Linked DNA regions of Oryctolagus cuniculus. The protein of the gene in region 1 interacts with the protein of each later gene in a pairwise test. Links are inferred from orthologs where the notes say so. Each region holds a gene or a part of one and is shown in the gene's direction. Other genes may lie near its edges. The genes, in order: PRR22 and NELFA.

Region 1 (3,753 bases):
TCCTCTCCGCCCCTCCCCGGCCCTGCCGCTGACTCCGCCCCCTCCCCCCAGCTCCACGGGCGCTCGCGGGAGCAGCGCTACACCCGGCGGGCCGACTGGGACTACATCGCGCAGTGCGCCAGGGCCGCCAGCCCCATGCCGCTGTTCGGTGGGTGCGGGGCGGGGGGACGGGAGGGGGACGGGAGGAGGGCCCGCCGCCCTGTGCCGCTGCTCCGTGGGTGGGGGGAGCCGGGAGGGGGGGGTCCACCCCGGGAGGAGGGGCCGCCAGCCCCGTGCCGCTGTGCGGTGGGTGCGGTGGGGGAGGATGCGCCAGCCCCGTGCTGGTGTTCTGTGGGTGTGTGGGGTCCGCCCGGTGCCGCTGCTCTGTGGGCACCCCCGCACCGACACCCGTCCCTCCCCCAGGCAACGGCGACATCCTGTCGTACGAGGACGCCAACCGCGCCATGCAGACCGGGGTGGCCGGCGTCATGGTGGCCCGGTGAGCGGGCGGGGGCGGGTCCGCGGGCTGGGTTGGGGGGCGGCCTGGCCCGCTGACCACGCCCCCCCCCGCCCGCAGCGGCGCCCTGCTGAAGCCCTGGCTGTTCACGGAGATCAAGGAGCAGCGGCACTGGGACATCTCGGCCTCCGAGCGCCTGGACATCCTGCGCGACTTCACGCGCTACGGCCTGGAGCACTGGGGCTCGGACACGCAGGGCGTGGAGAAGACGCGCCGCTTCCTGCTCGAGTGGCTGTCCTTCCTGTGCAGGTGGGGCGGGGCGGGCCTGGCCGGGGCTCCTCCCTGTGTGGGTGGGGCGGGCCGGGGCTCCTCCCTGTGTGGGCGGGCCGGGGCTCCTCCCTGTGTGTGGGGGGCGGGGGCGGGGCTCCTCCCTGTGCAGGCGGGGCGGGGCGGGCCGGGGCTCCTCCCTGTGCGGGGGCGGGGCGGGGCCTGAGTGGTCCCGCCCCGCAGGTACGTGCCCGTGGGGCTGCTGGAGCGACTCCCGCAGAGGATCAACGAGTGGCCGCCCTACTACCTGGGCCGGGACCACCTGGAGACGCTCATGGCCAGCCAGCGGGCGGCCGACTGGATCCGCATCAGGTGCTGCGGGGCCGGGGTGGGGGTGGGGTGGGGGGGCGCGGAGGGCCCAGGCTGACCCTGCCGCCCGCCCCCACAGCGAAATGCTCCTGGGGCCGGTGCCGCCCAACTTCGTCTTCCTCCCGAAGCACAAGGCCAACGCCTACAAGTAGCCGCCAGGAACAATAAAGTTTATTCTTCCAGAGCCGGGCTCGGCCTTCCTGTGATCTGCGCGCGCACCCACCAGCGCCCCCGGGAGGGCAGCAGGCGCGGGGCCGCCGTGGACCAGCGGCCTGGTCTGGGGCGGGGGGTGTCGCCGGCCGCAGCCCAGCCAGCCCCCGCGTCCCCCCTCCCTCCGCCCGCCGGGGTCCCCCGGCCCCGGGCCCAGAACCCTGAGGGTGGAACCCGCTGCCCGGCAACCGGGCAACAGAAGCTGGCGCGGAGCCCCCGGCTGGGCCGCCCTGCTCCCCATGCAGCACCCCCAGCCCTTCTACGACGCCGCCGCCGCCGCGCCCCCGGACAGCTTCGGGCCCCGCGGCCTGGAGCCCAGCGAGGGGCCCGGCGGCCAGCCCGCTGCCTCCGCCCCGGAGCCGCCTCCGGCCGTGGGTACGCAGGGTGGGCTCGGGCCGGGGCCCCTGCCCACCCGCCCACCCGCCCAGGGCCCCGCCAACCCGGGCGCCTCGTCCGCAGGTTCCTCGGGCCTGTACCACGCCCCGAACCCGGAGAACGAGGCGTGCCCCGCCCCGCCCGCAGGTACTGCCGCCCCCAGCCCCCGCCCGGGGCCCAGCGGGCGGGCCCTCTCCCCCAGCGCCACCCTCGGCCGCCCCACGCGCGCTCCGGGCTCCCCGCGCCCAGCCCCAGCCCCTGCTTCCAAGGGAGCCCGGGAGACAGCGCCTGTGCCCCCCGCCCCACATGAGCCCCCGGGCCCCTCCCCGCCCTGCAGGCTTCCAGATGGCGCCGTGCGGCTGCTTCTTTGACCCCCGCATCTACCGCATCGAGTGGGCCGCCACCGACTTCGGCCAGACGGCCCTGTACAAGCTGGTGGCGGCGGGCGGCGTGGCCCCGGCAGGCGCGCCGGCCGGGAGTCCCGCGGCCTCGGGCGGCTTCCTCCTGGAGCCCCGGCCCTACCTGAGGGCCCCCGGCCCGCCGCCGCCGCCGCCGCCGCCGCCGCCGCCGTACCCCCACTTCCCGCCGGCGCCCGCGGGCCCCCCATACCTCATGCCCTACTACGCGCCCGAAGGGCCCGACCCGGACTCCCTGGGCTTCGTGGGGGACGCGGGGGCCCCCGGCCTCGCGGAGCTGCCCCCGGCCCCGCCGGAGGCCAAGCTGCCCCCGCTGGTCATCACGCTGCCCGCCGAGCCCGCGCTGCCGCCCGGCGCCTTCGGCCACCTGCAGGGCCGCCTCAGCCAGCTCCGCGCGCCCGCGCCCGCCGAGGCCGCCGCCGCCGCCGCCGCACCGGGCGCGGGCGCGGCGCTGCCGGACAAGGTGCTGCTGGAGGACGCCATGCGGCTCTTCGACTGCCTGCCCGGCGGCGCCGCGCCCGAGGCGGCCGCGAGCCCCGCGCCCCCGCGGGACGGCGGCGGCGGCAGCAGCGACTCGGGCGCCGGCATCCGCTCGCTGCACCTGCCCGCCGACCTGCTGTCCTTCGACTACAGCGTGCCCGAGCTGCTGGACGCCGTGGCCAACGTGGACTGCCTGTTCAACTTCAAGGCGCTGGACGAGGAGCCGCCGCCGCCGCGCGCGCCCGCCGCCCCCGGCCCGCGCCCCGAGCCCGCGGGCAGGAAGAAGGCGGGGGGCGCCTCGGCCGCCAAGAAGGCCAAGCCGGGAGGCAGGGGCAAGCAGGCGGCGGCGGCGGCGGCGGGGCCCCGAGCGGACCTGGGGGCCGCCCCCCATTAAAGCGAGTTTGCGCGCTCAGCTCCGTGTCGGCTCCGCGGTGGGCGCTGCACCGGCGGCGGCGGCGGCCGGCAGGGGGCGCTCTGGGGCCGCCGGGCTGGACCCGCAGGTGCGGCCGGCCATTCCCGCCTCGTGGGCTGTGGGGGGAGGGGGCGGTGCTGTGCGCAGGTGGAGCCACTTCAGGGGTCTGGGGGCCGCGGCTGTGGCGGGGCGCGGAGATGCCCAGCCCAGGTGAGGGGCGGGGGACACAGACGCCCTGAGCGACAGGTGCTTCTGCGGACACTCTCCGAGGTGGGGGTGGGGGTGGGGTCCCGGTGGGCTCCCTCCCCTACAGGGGCCAGCTCTGCTCAGCCTTCACTTTGGGAACCAAAGGAGAGTTGTGCCCTGGAAGTCCCCAGCCGGTTTGCAGGACAATGAGGTTGGCAGCTGAGGCCGGGATGCCTCTTCCAGGCAGGCCACCGTGCTTTGTGCTCCCCTCCCCGGAGTCCTCATTCCGGAGCTCAGGGATGAGGAGCCAGGGTCTCCAGGCCACCGGCCGCCCCCAGGGACGAGCTGACCCCTCCACGTGCACTGGTTCCGTGGCCACTGTACCCAGCTCCCCTCTGGGCCTCACATGAATGCCAGGGGGTGGGCTGGCCCCGAGACCAGTGCAGGCAGGGGTGGGAGGTGCAGAGCCCTCGCGGGCGTGAGGAGAAGCAGCTCGCTGGGGGGAGATTAAGTGGACAAAAACCACAGCAAGGGCTGGAGGCCGCCCGTTGGCAGGCGGGAGGGGGCTCGGGGCCCCACTTCTGCCTTGGGCAGGCACTGGG
Region 2 (3,793 bases), on another chromosome or scaffold:
GCCTCCCTCCTGCGCGGCCTCGGCCCTGTGCCTGCCGCTGTCTCCTGCGCGGGCGTGGAGTTTCTTCCGGTTGCACCCGCGCTGCGCCCTCAGGTTTCCACGCGCGCTGTTTCTTTACTGAGGCCCAGTGTTGTCCGTGGTAATTTCCTCACTGGTCCCTGTGTGCTTTACAATGCTTCTCGGGCCGGCGCTGTGCCTGGTGGGTTACGTCACTGCCTGCGACCCCCGCGGCCCTGGGTGACAGCAGCCAGACAGCACGCCACCAGCTCCACTGTCAACTCTTCTGTCTCGAGACGCACACTGGGCTGGCGGCCTGGCGCAGCCCCGGCATTGAGGCCATCTGGGGAGCCAACCGGCGGGTGGGGAGCTTTCTCTGTTTTCCCTCTCCGTCTCTGTCATTCTGCCTTTCGAGTAAATAAAGTACATTTTGCTAAAGAAGGTGTTTCTCGATTCGCACCATGGAAGGGGAGGGTTAGGGTACGTTTCTATCAGTGACGTGCAGCGTGTGACGCTCTCGGAGAATGCGGCCCGCGGAGGCTGGAGCTGGCAGGCACTGCACCCCGGCGCGCTGGCCTACACCCACCCCCTCAAGGGGAGAGCGAGCGAGCGAGCGAGCTTCCATCCACGGCGTCACTCCTCAGATGGCCAGTGAGGAGCCAGGCGCTTCCGGGTCTCCGCGCCGGGTGCAGGCCCCCAGGGCCTCCGCGTCCTCTGCTGCCTTCCCAGGTGCGGTAGCAGGGAGCTGGCGCGGGCGAGGACGCGGGCTGCTTTCCTTTGTCCGTGTGTGTGGAAGGCCCTGGGCCCCGTGGGAGTCGCTGCGTGGGGCGGGGCCGAGGGGGAGCCTGCCACTCAGCGGCTCTCCGCCGGGCCGTCGGCAGTGCCGCGGCTCCGGTCGCGCCGGCCTCGTCGCCTTGTCAGCCTTGCTCACTTGGCACATCCTTTGCGTGTGTGTGATTTGCTGTCATAAATTTTTTTTGGTAATTTTTTTTTTTTTAAGATTTATTTATTTCTTGGAAAGGCAGAGCTATAAGGAGAGACACGAAGGTCTTCCATCCGCTGGTTCCCTCCCCAAATGGCCGCAACGGCCAGAGCTGGGCCGATCCGGAGCCAGGAGCCGGGGGCCGCCCGGGTCTCCCAGGCGCTCGGGTGGCGAGCAGTGCCCCTCTGCCTTAGCGCTGGGCTGCTGTCCCTGGTCGCTCTGTTGGGGGTGTCAGACGCTCGCTGGTTTTGGACGTGACGCACGTCTCCCACTGTCACCTGCTCCTGCGCCTCGGGAACTGCTGGCCTCTGGCCTGCGCCTGTGAGGTTCTAGATCGGCTGGATCAGGGTGTGCCAGGCGCCCTCCGGGCGAGAACTGGAGACCCTTCCCCTGCGGGCTCCTGGGGAGGGGAGGCGAGGGGAGGGGAGGGGAGGCGAGGGGAGGCGAGGGGAGGGGAGGGGAGGCAGGGTGTGGAGGCTTCGCTTCCCAGGCGCTCTCCTGGCTTGCATGGGGAGTTGGCACAGCAGGGCTCCGCCCTCAGGCCCCCAGCAGGGGAGGAGGGCGTGCTGCCACCCCTGCCCCTGGGCTGGGCCCGCACCCCTGAGACCAGGGAGCCCCTGCCCGGGGTTTGCCTCCTCTCACCCCCGGCGTCCTCTTCCTCTCGCCAGCTGTCCTCGTGGTAGTGGTGGGGACCGAGGGTCCTCCGGGTTCAGGGACTTGGCGTGGGGCGGTGCCTGGGCGGAGTTCACACCCATTTGCTGGCCTTTTTGGGCAGTCTGGGCCTGATGGGAGGGGGAGTGTCAGGCACTGGGTCACCCCTGGACACCTGTTCGCGGTCTCAGCAGGGGAAGGGGCTCCTCTGGCGGGGGCAGCTCTCTCCTGGTGACGGGGGTGCCTGCGGCGTGGTTGGGGCGGCACGTGCAAGCTGACTGGCCCCAGCCAGGCCCTCGCCCGCGCCTGAAGAGCAGAAGGGGCTGTCGGGAGGTGGGGGCAGCCCCGGGGTGGCCCCCCAGGGGTGCCGTCAGGGTCTGCAGTGTGGGGAGGCGGCGGCAGGGCAGGGCGCGGTTGCTGCCCGGGCCCGGCGGCAGCGTCTCCTGTCCCGCAGATGAAGGGCGTGCTGATGGAGATCGTCCAGCTGGCCGCGCTGGACTCGGACCCCTGGGTGCTCATGGTCGCCGACATCCTCAAGTCCTTCCCGGACACCGGCGCGCTCAACCTGGACCTGGAGGAGCAGAACTCCAACGTGCAGGACATTCTGGGGGAGCTCAGGGAGAAAGGTGCGCGGGGGGGGGGGGGGGGGGCACCTGCTAGAACCCGCGAGCCTCCACGAGGGGCCGAGGGGGCTCCCAGGCGACCTGCTGGGCTCTGACCTGAGGCCAGGGGGGCTGGGGGCCGGCGCTTGGCAGGTCCGGGGAGGCCACCAGCGGGGGCGGGCGCAGCTCGCCGTCCTCCCTTCCCGCGTGGGGCCGCCCGGGCCTGACGCCTGCTTCCGGGCAGTGGGCGAGTGCGAGGCGTCGGCCATGCTGCCGCTGGAGTGCCAGTACCTGAACAAAAACGCGCTGACCACGCTCGCCGGGCCCCTCACGCCGCCCGTGAAGCACTTCCAGCTGAAGCGCAAGCCCAAGAGCGCCACGCTGCGGGCCGAGCTGCTGCAGAAGTGTGAGTGGGCGCGCGGGGGCGCGCGGGGCGCGCGGGGGCGCGCGGGGGCACCCGCCGGCACTCCCCTGCACCGCGACGCGGGCCGTTTTGGTTTTGATTTTTATCCGTTTGAAAGGCAGAGAGACAGACAGCCGCCGGGAACTCGGATCAGTCTCCCAGGGGCGGGGTGGGCGGAGTGCCGTGCCCGCCCTGGGGTCCCCACACTGCTTTGGGGTGCCCTGGCCACCCTGGGGTGCCCGTGCCTGCCCTGGGGTCCCCACACTGCCCTGGGGTGCCCGTGCCCGCCCTGGGGTGCCCGCGCCTGTCCTGGGGTCCTCGTGCCCGCCCTGGGGTCCCCCGCACTGCTCTGGGGGTGCCCCGCGCCTGCCCCGGGGTGCCCACGCCCGCCCTGGGGTCCCCACACTGCTTTGGGGTGCCCTGCCCACCCTGGGGTGCCCGTGCCTGCCCTGGGGTCCCCACACTGCCCTGGGGTGCCCGTGCCCGCCCTGGGGTGCCCGTGCCCGCCCTGGGGTCCCCACGCTGCTTTGGGGCACCCACGCCCGCCCTGGGGTGCCAGCGCCTGCACTGCTCTCGGGTGCCCGCGCCTGTCCTGGGGTCCTCGTGCCTGCCCTGGGGTCCCCCGCACTGCTCTGGGGGTGCCCCGCGCCTGCCCCGGAGTGCCCACGCCCGCCCTGGGGTGCCCACGCCCGCCCTGGGGTCCCCACACTGCTCTCGGGTGCCCGTGCCTGCCCTGGGGTGCCCGCGCCCACCCTGGGGCCCCCGCGCCTGCGTCCAGGCGGAGCGCTGAAGCGGACGCCTTCCCACAGCCACGGAGACGGCGCAGCAGCTGAAGCGCAGCGCGGGGGTGCCGTTCCACACCAAGGGCCGCGGGCTGCTGCGCAAGATGGACACCACAAGTAAGACCCCACGCGTGGGCGCTCGGCGGGGGCCGCGGCGCTGGGCGCGCCCACCTCAGCCAAGGCTCCGCCCGACCCCTCTGCTGAGCTGTCGGGGTGGGCGCCGCGTGCTGCTGTGGGCGGGGCCGCAGGGTCAGGAGCCCCGAAGGGAGGACGCGGCTGATGGGCTGATGGCGCCCCCCCAGCCCCCCTCAAAGGCATCCCGAAGCAGGCGCCCTTCCGGAGCCCCACGGCGCCCAGCGTCTTCAGCCCCGCGGGG

Evidence for each region.
Region 2: the proteins of PRR22 (region 1) and NELFA interact in a two-hybrid assay, tested with the Homo sapiens proteins (2 studies listed by BioGRID). The two-hybrid records come from large-scale screens. The link is inferred for Oryctolagus cuniculus from reciprocal best matches to the Homo sapiens genes PRR22 and NELFA.

What each region holds. Positions count from the first base shown.
Region 1 is NC_091447.1:60,353,581-60,357,333, reverse strand, and holds PRR22 (proline-rich protein 22), read left to right. Parts: upstream 1-1,377; 5' UTR 1,378-1,521; coding exon 1,522-1,657; intron 1,658-1,741; coding exon 1,742-1,804; intron 1,805-1,994; coding exon 1,995-2,947; 3' UTR 2,948-3,197; downstream 3,198-3,753. Other genes in the region: DUS3L (tRNA-dihydrouridine(47) synthase [NAD(P)(+)]-like), read left to right, coding at 52-148, 403-478, 557-745, 947-1,075, 1,152-1,224.
Region 2 is NC_091433.1:823,926-827,718, reverse strand, and holds part of NELFA (negative elongation factor A), read left to right. Parts: intron 1-2,084; coding exon 2,085-2,256; intron 2,257-2,476; coding exon 2,477-2,638; intron 2,639-3,444; coding exon 3,445-3,534; intron 3,535-3,719; coding exon 3,720-3,793. UniProt on the Homo sapiens protein: Essential component of the NELF complex, a complex that negatively regulates the elongation of transcription by RNA polymerase II.